2 linked regions of the Oryzias latipes genome follow. The protein of the gene in region 2 purifies or fractionates together with the protein of the main gene of each other region. This does not show direct contact. Links are inferred from orthologs where the notes say so. Each region holds a gene or a part of one and is shown on either strand. Other genes may lie near its edges.

Region 1 (7,634 bases), on a different chromosome or scaffold from region 2:
TTCGGCCTGCAATAACCGTTCGGGGTCCTTTCGACTGAGGATAACATCACACTACGGTATCCCCACTTGGACAAACTACATAGCGCGGAGATCTGCTCGGGCTCTACATATTTTCATTTCACATTTCCTTTTGTAACCCAAAGTTATTTTCCCTCATAAGTTGTGTCTGACATTATTCTTTGCAGTGTTTATGGAGAGATTTTGCCACAACCCACTTTGTAAAAAGATCTGTGGCTGTTAGAATGAACCTGCTGTTCCACGCTAGAGAACCGTATCTCTGATTGGAGCAACTGGAGTCTCGTAGCTTCGTGTTCGCAGGCAGGGAATATGATTTGTTATAGTGTTCGGTCCGGAGAAGGCTTCGGACCGCAGTCCGTTCGGCTGCAAATGCACTTAATAAGAATCTTAACAATAATAAAAGAACATTTAGAAGATAATCTCACTCCATGTCAGAGCTCTGTTTGTTTACAATGGACCGCATAATATCTTCTTCTATTGTAGTTTTAATTATCCGATACGTCAACGGACAGCCAATCCCATAATGTGACGTCAGCACTAGTCGAAGGACCCCGAACGGTTGTTGCAGGCCGAATGCTTATGGTACCTACACCGGCAGACGGAGAGCCGCTGTGGTAGGGGGAAGAAGTCAGCTCGGGCCTTCGATATTCGATATTTTTCTTATTTTCATCGAGACAATAATATATAGATCCCCTAGTTTGATTCTTGTTTTTATTTTTCTGCATGATATGAGTAAAACTCGCGATATTAGCGATCAATATTGCGATGACGCTATAACTTGAGAAACATGAAAGAAAATAGCAAAACGACCAAAAACATAATTTCCATTACACTGCAACAGTTTAATGGAAGAAAGAGTCAACATAATTTAAATTATACTCCAAATGACCCTCGTCTACATAAGGAGGCAAATATCTAACATGAAAGAGCTCCATCCGATTGGTCAAATGCATAAATAGATTTATTTGATTCGCTAAATAGTTCAAACTGCCATAAGATTGTTTTTGCAAATTTAAGGTAACCGCTTATTGCTGTCTTTTGCGATAAGCATATTGCACAGCTTGATATTGCGATAACGCTAAATTTGCGATTTATTGCACAGGCCCAGAACAAATTAATGATTTCGTGGGAACACGTTTCTTTTGTTTTTACCCATCTCAGGTCACACGTATACAACTCCTAATTTTAAATAAGGGTTAATTTAATTTGAATTGTTGAAAGTTTAAGAGACTTTCTTTCAAAATAAAAGCTTTTCTTTTTCCAGCAGCAACAAAACACTCAGTACAGATAAGAACCCTCAGCAAATGATGCAATAACAGCAACTCCAGACCTTTTCTGAAAAGGTCACATTTGGAAGCATTTGTGTTTTTTTTTTTTTACTTCCCACATAAAAAACAGTAAAACAAAACAAAACAAAACAAAAGTCAGATGTGACACAAATCCCAGAAATAAACTCAAACACTGTTTTCTTCTAGCCTTAAGAGGCTGAAGAAGAGGAACAGATGTTTTCAGCTGGATCACCAACACTGTAGCAGTGCGACCGCTGATGGTAAAAGAAGAGGACAGATTACAGGTTTTAGATCATCTCCTCACCCTCGACGTGCAGGTTGAGCTCCATGTTGGCGAAAAGCGGGTTCACAGTCAAAGAACAAATGTAGCTTCCTTCGCTGCTCATCTTGGTGAAGGGGAGAGTGTAGGAGGCATCTCCCCCAGCCAGGGCCTTCTTCCCAACTCCAGAGCCATGAATCTCCCCGGAGCGGCTGTTGTAGCGGAAGAGCATCCTTCTCTCTCCGCGGGACTGCCAGTGCCACTCCACGGTGACGTTTGGGCCTCGGTGGTCGATGCTGAACTGACAGTGGAGTTTGGGCTGCGAGCGTAGTCTGACTTTCACAGATGGAGTCTCTGTTTTCAGCAACATGGCGACTATGGACACAAATAGGATGAACCCTCTTACAGGCCTTCGTTCTGACATGCAGAAGCAGCGTCAGATGAAGGGGACACCTACCTGTGGTGGTAAGAACCTCTCGGTCGGCGATGGGCGGCCAGCTGCGGTAGTCCTGCTGTCCTGGAGGAGGTTGGTCAGACGGATGTCTGAGGAAAGCAGTGACGCTGAACTTGTCCTTTCTGTGTCTGAGGATGCAGGTGTACCAGCGGTTGTACCCCTCTGCCCCCAGGGCGGGCCAGCGGACATGGATGCCCTCTGTGCTGTACCGTCGGACCTCACACTCCAACTCCTCTACCTCCACCCCTTCAATGGACCGCTGCAGGTCCAGTTTTGAAACTAAAGCAACATAAAAAGTCATGAATGTAATTCTTTCCTGCCCCGATTCGTGTCTTGGACAGAAGCTCACCAGTGATCAGGAAGGTGATGGCGTGGGGATTGACAGGAGCGTCTCCTTTTAGACCAAACTGAACCATAGCCTCTCTGGGAATGAGCTGTGTCTCAATGTGTCCTTCACTGTTGTTGGACACATGTTCGTCAGTGAACTGACATGACAGCCATGGTATCTGCTGAACGCTCCTCACAACTGAGAACACAGAAAAACTAACATTAAACACACCCTTCATTTAAATTTAGTTCCTTTCATGAACTAACTGATAGAACAGCTGCAAACATACTTTAAAATAACTTACCTCCAATCACATAAAAGTAAATAACAACTTTCTGAAATACTCCCATTTTGATTATTCAATTGAATTTCTTGGTTCACCTTGTTTCTACCAGCAGCCAGGATCTAAAAAGTACTTTCATTTTCACTTCTGCAGAAAAAAAACGATTTGCCTTTAGCTCGCGTCACATGACCTACAAGATTAAAACCATAACAAAAAAAAAACATTTTTATATATATTCATAAACACAATAACAAATGAAATGACGTTTAAATCTGATGTAAAATATTTAAATCTCGCTCCGAAGAAAAACGTTAAAACTGCAGTACCGAATTTATCCGGGTGCGTCGCTGTGAACAAACATCCGGTATATGCGTCGCATGGCGGAAGCGTGTTTGCGGCTGCGCAGTTCTGCTGTGGATGTTTTTAGTTGGATTATGTTGTTTCAGAAATCTAACTTTAAACTTCGGAAACCGTGAACGTAACGGCGCGTTTAGAGAGTTTCCAGGTAAACGGATTACACTGGTATTTACCTGCACGCAACAATTATCACGGTGATAATGGACAAAGGTAAAATAGCTTTTATTTTTACTCTCTCTGTAGACCAGTTAAGTCACTGACTTTAAGTTAAAATAAATTCTTACAAAAGAAAATATTATTTAATAAAGAAAAGCAATGTTTTTTAATTTAAATTGTTTTTCCAACACACGACGCATTCATACCGATTTACACACGCGGTGAACCGCTTTGAATTGTGGGAAACTGAGTTTGGTGTGGTAAAATGAATGACATATGGATCCCCTGAAGGGATTTGGCAAAAGGTGAATAACAACAAGATCTACACTGATCCTGACATAAAGACGAACGCACACAAACACTCACACATTAAACACAATAAAAACTATATGGCTCTGTCCATGAAAACTGAGTTATTTATTGGAGATCATATCTGAAAGTTGAGAAGAAGCTTTGGTGTTTTTATCTGTGGATACGGTGGCCCTGAAGTTCAAATCACATCCACAAATTACTGTTTTAAAACATCACACAGCAGTCCTGGAATGCAAAAACAAAATTGTTTTTGCAATTCTTGTTTCTTACTGCATATTTGAATGAAAACTTGACACCCCACCCCACCCCCCGCTTTAATTTTGTTTAGATTTATCAAATGTAACGTTTTCTTGTTATTTTATTGCTTTTGTTGTTGTTATCTTTAAGATGTCTTTACATTGATATGATGATGTGATTGGCACTTCAGGGCTCTGATTATGTCATGTGATTTCAGGCTCTGCGGTTCTGCAGGGGGCTTTCCTGCTGGCAGACAAACTGTGTCGCCCCTCATTTCTATCCTGCGTGAACAAATCCGACTGGATCGCGGCGGGACGCCCGATCCTACAGGCTCTGCAGGAAGTCTGTGAACTGGAGGAAGCTGACGGTCATCACAGCTCGACCTGGACGAAGAAGGTGGTCTGTGCTGTGTGGCTGAAGCTCTTGAGCGCTGAGGAGGATGTTGAGAGAGCGTGGAGGGAGAACCCCTTTTTTTCCTTCCAGCAGAGCCTCCCTGAAGTTAACCATGTTGTCCTGTTGGAGTTGGTGAAGAACGCTGCTGCTTCACATGTTTACGCAGGTTTTCTCCTTCATCTTCCTGAAGATTTGATCTGCTTGGAGCTGAAGAGGCTGGTAGAGCATGTGAAGAGCGAGCCTACAAGCGAAGAGGATGTTCATTTCTTTCTAGAGATGTGGCGGGAGCTGTGGAAAGGCCAAGAGCAAGCCAAGCTCAGAAACGACGAGAGCATGGAGATGATGTTTGCCAAGCAGGTTGCTCGTCTCACCTCCATGTCTTCTAGTTTGTCTCCTCAGGCTGCCAAGAGGTTAAAGCTGGAGACACAAGACTCAGCAGAGGCTGATGTTTTCCACATTCTCCTCAATGCCCTCAAAGACATGGCAGATCACGTCTCCTCATTAGACCTGTGCTTCCAGTCTCTCTCCATGTCCCTTGATGCTCTTTTTACATCATTTCTGATAGACCGAGAAGTTGTTCTATCAGCTCAGGAGAAGATGGACATCCTGTGTAAAGCCATCAGTACTAAAGGAAAGAATGAAAAACTTCAACCTGAACTTGTTGAAGAAGCTCAGAGACATTTACGGGCTTCGATTTCCCCGTCTCAGTTCAAAGTCAGGAGGATGGATCTGGGTGAAGCTCTGAGGGTCATAGCAGAACTTAGTCAGTCTTGGAAAGACCGAGGACTCTTGGACGTCCAGGACGGCTCTCGCTCCTCCTACTCTGCTTTCCAGCTGGAGCAAAGTGTCCAGAGAGTCTCCACTGCTCTGGAAGAAGCTCCCACAGCAGCGACAGAGAAGAACCTGCTCGTGGCTGTGCTGAAGTCTCTGGTTCTTCCTGTCACAGAGAGCAGCCCTGAGGTGCATGCTCAGGTGCTCTCCACCATCATCACTCACCGCCTGGAAGACCACGAGAGCTTCGCTGCCTTGTTTGCCAGAGAGCCGCCCTGGACGCACTGTGATGAAGGCTGGATGGATTGCCTGGAGAGGAGCCAAGCTTCCTTCCGTCAGCATGACGCCGTGATCGGCCTCTCCTCTACTCTAATGAACAAACTACGCATGGAGAATGCAGACGTCAGCCAGTGCAGAAAGCTGATGAAAATCATAGCAGATATCTTCTCCAGCCTTTCCTTAGAAGACATGAACAAAGCCTTGGTGTCCATGTTAAGATTGTCTAGGAAGGGCTTCTTCGAATTCCCCGTTCCTCCTGAGGTGGCTGGAGGGTTTGAGCAGGAGCTCAACATGGCCTTCAACTGCATCATCCAAGCAGGAAGTGGAGCGTCCTCAGCTGTTCCTCAAGGGAACCTGACCACGGCCGTCTCACTCGTAGCCAGAGTGGCTTTTCAGAACCCAGAAGGCGCCTTACGGTCCTGCTGCCACTCAGCTGTTTTCAATAAAGGAGCATTTTCGATGATGGCAAAGATCCTGCAGCATCTGCCTGGACTCAGCGGTCAGAGAGGAGGAGATGGAGATGGAAGGAGGAGCGGAGAGGAGAACACGGCTAAAGACGGGACCTCTAGTCTGCTCTGCAGGTGCCTACACCAGACGGTCAAGGACAAGTCCCTGTCAGCCAACGAGAAGGAACAGTTTGCCAAATTCCTCGGTCTGCTGATGGGTCCAAACGTGGACGAGGGAAAGGAACAAAGCTTCCTGTCACCTCAGGAGGTTATAAACACCTTCGTCCTCCCTAACCTTTCATCTGTAGGTGAGGATCCTTTACAATGTTCCTGACATTTGAAGAAGACTCTTAAGAATCTTTTATTCTGAAATTTGGTGTCAGAATCATCAGTTTGAACTGTTAGAAGTGGTGCAACGTTCATGAGCTCCTCATCTGTTATAGCCTCTAATGACTAAGTCGTTTTATTTTTGTACACTTTGATTTATCAGAATTCAACATTTTACATAATACGTCACATGTTCTTCATCCGTTCTCCACATCTGCTCAGGTTCCTCCTCTGTGGATGCAGAGTTGAGTCTGCAGCTTCTTCACACAGCTTTGTCCTTGGATGTGCAGCCAGGAGCCTCCAGCTCTCACTGGCTGATGGACTGTTCTCCTTTTCCCCTCCTTTTTGTTCTCGCTCAGATCCACGACCAAAACCTCAGGTGTTTGTTGGGATAAGATTTCGTTGAGTCTTCCTTGGAGTTCTCCTGTAATTCGTCTGCTTTCTGCCAGGTTTTGGGAGGAACCGCCAAAAGGTGGCGTCCGCCTCTGCTCTGTGGACACCAAGGAGCTTCTGGTGTCTGTGATGACCACAGTGGGGCAAGTGGTGGGTGCAGAAGTGGCAGCCGCCCCCAGTAGCTGGTCCAGAGCCCTCTTCTGGCTCTACAACAAACTGGAGGAGTTGGACTGGACGGTTCGGTTCCACCTGAAGCCGTTGTGGGGGCAGCACTTTAAAAACGAGGTGCCCTCATCTCTGCTGGATGTGTGCGATCTGCCTGAGCAGGTGAGAACTCCTGCAGCCCAAGTCCCAGTCCATTGAACGGCAAAGGCCTAAAGTGGGACACGGACACAGAACCAAAAACCCACCGACACAAGTTGGTGTCTCGATTAAAAAGGGTTATCCCTTCATCAAGTGAATCCTTGCTAAAAAAGACTGTTTTGCTGTTTAAATAAAAAAAAACATAATCAAGACTCTTTTATAAACAAAGCTGTAGACACGTACATCCATAGGGGGTTTGATCCATCGCCGCTGCATCTTCAAACTCATTTGTACAACATGCCTGCTTCTCAACTCCTTCACCCTTACTGACCCTTACGTGTTGTCGGTGTTCACTACGACCCGTCGCCTGCAGCATGCCCGTAGAAAAATGTGCATGAACTTTTTCTCTTTCTGGATTCACAGAGCGGTCTGCCACCTGGATATTTTGTGTGGGCCACCTGTGTGCCCCGTACAGGTTTGAGCATTTTCACCTGCAGACAGCCCGTGCCCACGAATTAGGGCAGTTGGGACTCGAGATATATTCAGACCGCCCTCAACAGTGCACGTTCAAATGACCACTTCCAAAAAAAAGTCAATGTAAACGCATGGAAAGGCACACTTCTGGCTTCAGTGTTCAAAACTCTCGCGTTTAAACTTGTACGACCATTTTCAGGCTCTGTGTACAAAGTGCAAGGTTATTGAACGCCGTTGAAAATGAAACCGTGTCAAACTTTGATCAATCAGGGACTTGGATTTGGTAGTGAAGAATGGATGGCGTCCCTTTAAGCCATGGACGTAGCAACTGTTTGAAAGTTGATCATGGAGGGGAATGAATAATTGTTGTTTGTGTCGGCTGGAATACTATGACACCAAGTCTTTCATAGATATATCGGATTGGAGCTGTGAAAGAAAAAGCCCTGAGCGATATTTGCACTGCTTCAACATTTTACACCAAGCCTCTATTGTAGGTGGCGGACATGCGCTAGTAAACAGTAGAAAAAGTGTGTCCACTGCTTAAGGCCTTAAGTG
Region 2 (7,580 bases):
CGATGTAAGACAAACAGAAACAACTTTACTAAGCAGCTTTTGTCAAAGTGATATGATGCAGACTTTACCGTCGATGTTGAGCATCATTTTCCACAGGGAGGGCCTGACCGACTGATGGAAACCAAACCACACTTCTCTGCCACCTCCCAGAGGGTTTGAGCAAGCTTCTGAAGGAGTAAAGAAAGACCGCCCAACAGGGGTATACCTAAAAGACAACAGTCGGTGATAAGACGTCTGGTAAGGAGAGGTTTAAAGTCCCACTCTGATCATCTCCGTTTTCAAACGGTTCTGAACCAAGATGGAAACGGTTTCCTTTCAAAAGGCTTGTTGCATAGAACTGAAGTGCACCATGTGGCGCTCAGTGTGCCGTCACTGCTTCAGCAGCTCTTTGAGCACGGCTCTTTAAATTAGGATTGTGCCGTTTTCAGTTAAAATCAATAAACCTGTATGGTTTTCTAGGACAGTTTCTCCAGAGAAGCAGGAGTTGATTAGAAATGTGCCTCTCTGACGTGACTGGGACTATTGGCGTGGAGCAACCCCGCCTCCATTTTCCCTCCCGGTTGCTGAGAGCTCTCTGTTTTCAGGCTCTCCTGCCACCTGCTCCTCCCCCATTTGAGCTTACTATTATTTATACATTTTCTCAATCATCAGAAAATGTTAAAAACACCAGTTTCATCAGATTGGGTCTTGAACACAAACTCATGGCACATTATTTAAAAAAACTAAATTCAGATTTGATATATTCAGCTGACTTTCCTGTAGTGTGCTTGTGGCATCTTGTTTAATCCTAATCAAGAAGTGATAATCTTAACTAATTCCATGAGGAAACAGGCAGCGGCTGTGCACTGCTTAGGCATCATTTGGCCACATAAGAGAGCTAGACCAAAACAGGAAATGGCGATCCTTCCAACAACAATTAGAGACCTACCTCATAGAAGGCAAATGTCTCATGACCACATCCAAGGCTTGGATAGTCTCAAAGGGAACACTGGGAAGCCGCCCTGACAGAGCTTCGTGCAGAGCTTGCAGGCTAACGCAAGACACCCATTTGATGGCAACTTTAAAACTGCGGTCTTTGCCTTCGCCTGGAATAGTCACCTCCAGCTCCACCTACATGGTTCATACAAAATGCCACTGCTGAGACATTTTAACATTGAGAGGAAATCGTTTCAACTATAATGTAAACAACAAACCTTTTCTCTGCCTATGGGCAAAGCCATGGCAGTGTAGAGGTTCTTTCGCCCGTCGTACACCGGCTTCCGGTCCCCAAAGATCTGAGTTTTAAAGTGCTGGACCATGTGCTCCACAATTTCTCTGCAGACAAATTAGGCGAGTCAAGACAATCCCCATAAAATTACACACAATTCTGATGAGAGTTTAAAAAAAAGCAGACTTTGAACTCACCGATTCACCCTTCTGGGGCATTTTTCAGGTTTGATGTCTATGTCGTAATGGTAAACCTCCAATTTTGGGATTTCCATCTCAAAGAAATTGGCCTGGAGCTTGATTGTCCTGCCCATGGTGCCAAAGTCTGGCCGTGATGGCGGCTTGAACACATATTCTGGCACTGGGGAAGATGGGGGCTCTACAAAAAACAACAACAACAACAACAACAAAAAACGCAACAGTTGAAACAACATTATTACTACACACACAAAGTGAAAATGTGCTTTACGGCCCTGAGGTAAGTTTGCAAGAACCAGTTTGAAAGCAGGAACAAGCAACGGCTTGCATCTGCATGCATGTAAACATTTTGTGACCATAAGACTCCAGAGGAAATGGGAGCTTGACGTTGCATACCAAATCAAAAAACGGCCAACAACAGGTCAATCATAAACTTTAAAAGCTCTCGTACACCAGACAGTGTCACAAAAATATGTTAAATGCTCAAAAGAAACACAAAATAAATGCCTTTTAGAACATTTAGAAAAGAACACTGTCCTGTTTTTTTCCCGAGGTGGATTCTAGGAGTGTTGTCTAGTGCCGTGTTTTTCAACCAGTGTGCTGGGAAATTGCCCCCATTAACTGATCTAAAAACATTTCCCATCTCCAGGATATCAGCTCTGGGTTCATCCAGACAGGCCCTGATAAAACACTGAGTAGTTAGGAATATGAAAGATCATATAATACTTTTTTCTTTGTGTTTATTTAATTAAGACATTTTGATAAGAATAACGGTATCGCGATTTAGCTGCAGCTAAAGCTGTTTTAGGAAAAGTCCCGCCCCTTTAACTGTCTCCACCAATCATTCTTGGAGGCTCAATCACACGTCATCAGTCTGACCAATCAAAAGTGGTTAAAGGCTTCACTTCCTTGTTCCAATTCTGCTCATAAAGTTGCTCAGTTCTAACAAAAAATACCAGCTAAATCTCGTCTTTATCAGTGTAGCTTTCCACAGAATCCGGTATCAGACCGTGGAACAAGTGAGCAAAACTATGAAGCTCAGAGACGCTAGTCTGTCTGGGTTCGGCGGCTATTTGCACTACATCTCCCATGATCCATTGGGTTAAAGTGACAGCATCTCAGCGTACAATGAGTCTTACCTGTTACACGTCTTGAAAACCACAACGAACACACAAACAGTTTTTAAATCTTGTAACTTAACTTTTATTACATCTTTTAGAAGCTGCAACTTCCTGCTTTTTCTGCCACAATTATCATAAAAATGCATGTGAGATAGCGGAGGGGCTATAGATCAATACTGACTATGAGTTTCTCCTTTTTTTTTTGGATGCTGGTGTGCCGCGGGATTTTTGTCAAGGTTAACGTGTGCCGTGGCTCAAAAAAGCTTGAAAAACACTGGTCTAGTGATCAGTACCTGTAAAGTTATTATCAAAACAGGAGTATCTTGTATAGCCTTGCCTTTTTGGTGTCAATTTGACGCATTATGTTGTTAAACCCAAATCCCTAAACAGTTTTTGTAGGAGAAGCATTTGACTTTATTTATGGAGAGATAATACTTCAGTGCCTAAAGAAAACATTTGCAGTACGAACGTTCAAAACCCTATGAGATGTGAAAATGTCCCTTTTTAGAAACTGTACTTAATTAATGTCATGAACACCACTGCAAAAGTAACAATAATCATGTTTTGCAGTGAAATTCAAAAGAATTCACTTGGTTCATTTTAGGAGGTCTCACTTGCTTATCACTTTTACAGTACCACAGCCCATAATCAAGGAAGTCTTATCAACTTACACACAGAAGGTATTAAACAAGCTGGCAATCTCACACAACAGAAGACACCCAAACCCCTGTAAATAGCCCCCCACTGCAGCATTTTTTCCTAAAGTTTTAGCTTACCGCCAAAAACCTGTTCTATGAGCTTCGCTCATCTACCAGCTTGATAGGTTTTCCCCCCTCCTGACTATGTAAACAAAAAAAACATTTAGATATATTTGTTTTCTACATGAGAAAATTAATGATTAAAAAACAACCATTTAGCTTTGACAAATAGCTTTTATTCTGATAAGAACTCATTTATTTAGACGAGATCTACATTCTTTTCCTCATTCCTTCTCTCTCCAAACTACCAGAAGCACATGAACGACGATTGGTGACAAATTCTGAATCTTCTGCAGCATCTCTAAATATTTAAGTATTATTATAACAAATTGGGAGCTTAAAACTTAAAATATTACGATCCAGGAGGCTACTGGGTTTGTTAGAATCAAACACTTTGTAATACGTTTTAAATATTAAAATGTTAAATACAAACAATTATATATACTTGGTTCTAAACGGTTAATGAAATAAATTTGAACTTGATAAACACAAGATTGAGTGATCTGTTATTTTAACCTTCGATGGCAACGTTTTTGTTCAACAACGTCAGTGTCATTTCAGTTAAATAAAATAGTTATTTTTATATCTAAATTTACATCAAGTGTAATAAGTATAGTGTTAGATTGAGGAACAGATCATGGCGTGGCCACCCGTTATCACGTTAATTTTAATAGAGACGAATATAAATAGACATTTTTTTCTATTTATCACTACCCAAACAAACGTGTGCTTTGCTAAATGGTTGTTAAACTTAAAAAATATATATATTCACGAAGGTATTAGTAGAATTTTTGTGGGAAACCAAAGCGCCATGCAAGCTAACCCGGCTAGCAGTTGCTGTAATTTAGCTAAGCTCGTTGAGCGAGTGAGGATTCTTTGTCACAACATATGTGGGTATTTATTAACAATTTTTCAAATAAAACAAAACTGAATGGTTTTTCACTAACTGTTGTTGCCATGTGTTACAACAATGCAGAGAACGCGTCTGTTTTTGTCATTTTCTTAAGCCGCATCTTTTAGCCGATGCTAACGGTAGCTTACCTCCTCCAGCAGGATACATTTTGTCGACTTTTTGTAGCGTTTGTTGTGGACGTACAGATGCTCCACTTTACAAAGGCGGAGCTGTGGCCAAACTCATGCGTAGACAACAAGTATCTATGCGCCCAATAAAAAAATGAGAAAACTAAGGTAAAAAATAAAGCTTTTTAGTCAGCCCAGTGGTAAATATTTGGAGTCGCTCATCCTCGGCAGGACCCCATCCCCCTACCACACAAACGGGAGAAGCAGAGAGTAAACAGAAATCAGAAGCGCGGACCAAGAGAACTCCCTGCCGTGTACTTCCGCTTTAAGCCGCATTGGCCAGCTCAAACATGGGACATTCTTTGCTTTGGCTCTACAAAACGCACAATTAAACCTAATTCCAGGTTATGTAAATGTTATATGTTTAAAAATGTGTTTTACTGCGATCATTTCACATGAGGTAAATTTATCAAAATAAACGTAGCAAGGCAATGAAAAAAAGTCGACGAAGATTCTTTGATGCCTTTATATCCATAGATATGACTAATTACCGACAGTTAGTCTTTCTTTACAGACATAAAGAGTAAGAAAAAAAGATATAAAGAAAACAGAAACTTTTTATAGTAAGTTCAAAGAGTTAAAGTATGATCAGTAAATATCAGTAAACATATCTTAAAGTTATTTTTGGTGTTTTGTTATTTTTGTTTATTTATTTATACTAAAAACAATTATTTATTTAACTGAGTGAACGACTTCCAGTCATATTATGACCATGAATGAGTGAGAGTTATAACATTATCTGTGAAACTGCGATCGAAAGATTCATGTCGATTAAATTAGAGTATGTCGATCTTTAGTGACGTCAGAGGTCAATTCAAATTCTCTGCTTCAAAATTTCGATTTGTATTTGCAGTCTAAAGAACGACAAATTACCAAACATATGTCACTATTAACTTATTCTTTTTTTTTTTTATAAAAGCACAGAGGCTACATTTTGCTACAGGCAAAAAAAGAAGGAAAAAAGGGGGAATAAACCGGAAACAGATAAGTAAAGATGGGTAAGTATTTCCGGGGTATTTGTAGCTGATTTTTTTTTTTTACTACGAACATTTTTTTTCTTTGTTTTGTTTTTTCAAAGTTATTTATTTATATATAAACAAAGTTAGGGTAAGCACACGTTTTAAATGCGCATACAAGAAAACAACTAGAATAAAATCAAGATAATAAAATTACAAGAGTTTTGAAATATTTAGATAAATTTCTGTAATTTTCTTTTTTTTTGTTTCAAATGCATTTAGGACACTTAAAATAAACAGAAAAAAGAATTTAAAAAAGATACTAAACAAAGGGCTGTTTTCCCTTTACAGAAATAGACCTAACAATAACATTTTTGTTTGTAATATGAGGGTCTATGTACTACATGCCTTGCTTTTAACAAAAAGCTAAACCATTTGCTGGAATCACAATGTTGGCCTTGAACAGCTTAGTAAAAAGCAATTTTTTTTTTTTGGAATTGACGTTGAAGCAAAAATTTAAGAACATTACAATACAAATGCAGCTAAAATAAAATAGTATTGTATAAATTCAACAGGTCTCCTTTAACCCTGCAAAGCAATATATTTCTCCCATTTTTTTTGTTTCTTCATCTTGTATGTTTGTATATTGCGTTATTATAGCACCAGTACTTGCTGTGAGTGAAGGCCGCCCTCCCTCGGTGACTTGACGTTTGAGTTCGTGCTTCAGTAGATTATAAGGGTTACAACCGTGAGTGTATTTTACCCACGCACAGAAAAGAGAAGTCAGATGATGAGAAGGTTTTTTTGTTTTTGTTTTGTTAGTGATCAGTAGATTGCAGTACCCGGGTTTCTCCATTTGTGTGCGCTGTTCACCACTGAAAGGGGGTTAATGCCCGACCATAGATCTGCCTTATTCATTTTAACGTTAAGAATACATTTTTTTTGTTCAGCAAATTTATGTTTATTTGTTGAATAAATGGTTCGACTATATTAATTTTTCAGAAAATCTTCCGGGAAAATAATATTTAAGCAGTGAAACGTTTTTATTAAATAAAGACAAAGAAAACAAACATGTATTGTTTTTTTTAAGGATAAACAAAATGAAAAAATTCTAAATAAGTGCATTTGACTATGAATAAATGAACAGAATAATGTTTTGTTTGTTTAAATAACATGCATCAATAAAAGTCGGTTAACATAATCGGTTTTATCTTCTGCAGGAGCATTTTTGATAACCTCTGATGAATTTACAACACTTTAATTGCTCTGCTTGATTGAAAGAATTAAAATCATAACAATGTAGACCCGAACCCGTATGGTTTCCCCCTTCTTAAGGAAGCTGGCTGAGGACATTGGGTGTAGCTGTGTGTGCGCGCACCCTGGCCAATGGAACCAGATCCTCCCTGCAGTGCGTAAGAGCGCGATTTAGGATTTAACCAAGTCTTTGCTGCAGGGTTGGTTGCAGTCTTTAGCAGAGCCCGTCGGCCTGAGAGCCTCTTAGCACAATGACAGTGTAGTCTTGGAGAGTCCTGATTGCCTTTTTTTTATTAATTCAAAGAAAAAAAGAAGAAGAACTCACATTTTGCCTCACTTAAGCATGACCGGAGTTTTCGATCGGAGGATCCCGAGTGTGAAACCTGCAGATTTCCAGAGCTCTTTTCAACTCTCCGCCATGCATCATCCGTCTCAGGAATCTCCTACTCTACCCGAGTCCTCAGCCACGGATTCTGGCTATTACAGTCCAGCCGGTGGAGTCGCTCACGGCTACTGCTCCCCCAGCTCCACTTCATACGGGAAGTCTCTCAACGCTTATCAGTACCAGTACCCGGGTGTCAACGGATCTGCTGGAAATTACTCCACCAAGTCTTACAGTGATTACAGTTCGTACACGACCCCCGCGTACCACCAGTATGCCGGGACTTACAACAGAATACAACCCCAGCCAAGTCCACAAGGTGCGGGCCCGAACGCCTTACTGACGCTTGGTAAAATTTCACGTTTTGTGACAGAATTTCTATCAAAAAACTGATAAACGTTTGAGATTTCATTGTTGATCCTTTCTTATTTTTATTGAAAAAAGATTCTAAAAAAACAGGCTACCCTTTTCAAATATGTTTTTATTTTTGGATTAATTTGGAGCATCCTAATCCACATAAAAGCTTTTTTTTTTTTTTTTTTTTACAAAATAACTTGGCAAATTGACTGACGCTCATGCTTTTTTTTTTTAAATTGCTTTAGCAGAAAAGGAGATTAGTGAACCA

The links.
Region 1: the proteins of protein argonaute-2 (region 2) and gemin4 purify together in Homo sapiens (affinity purification with western blotting; 4 studies listed by BioGRID and IntAct, with this or other methods). This does not show direct contact. The link is inferred for Oryzias latipes from reciprocal best matches to the Homo sapiens genes AGO2 and GEMIN4.

The regions. Positions count from the first base shown.
Region 1 is NC_019871.2:19,885,402-19,893,035, forward strand, and holds the start of gemin4 (gem-associated protein 4), read left to right. Parts: upstream 1-2,977; 5' UTR 2,978-3,048; coding exon 3,049-3,136; exon of another isoform or gene 3,137-3,188; coding exon of another isoform or gene 3,189-3,198; intron 3,199-3,910; coding exon 3,911-5,890; intron 5,891-6,131; coding exon 6,132-6,288; intron 6,289-6,358; coding exon 6,359-6,629; intron 6,630-7,634. Other genes in the region: tapasin-related protein, read right to left, coding at 1,612-1,941, 2,024-2,299, 2,370-2,546, 2,653-2,698. UniProt on the Homo sapiens protein: The SMN complex catalyzes the assembly of small nuclear ribonucleoproteins (snRNPs), the building blocks of the spliceosome, and thereby plays an important role in the splicing of cellular pre-mRNAs.
Region 2 is NC_019869.2:10,699,732-10,707,311, reverse strand, and holds the start of protein argonaute-2, read right to left. Parts: upstream 4,600-7,580; 5' UTR 4,344-4,599; coding exon 4,325-4,343; intron 1,586-4,324; coding exon 1,405-1,585; intron 1,315-1,404; coding exon 1,194-1,314; intron 1,111-1,193; coding exon 929-1,110; intron 206-928; coding exon 69-205; intron 1-68. Other genes in the region: dlx5 (homeobox protein DLX-5), read left to right, coding at 6,917-7,304, 7,558-7,580.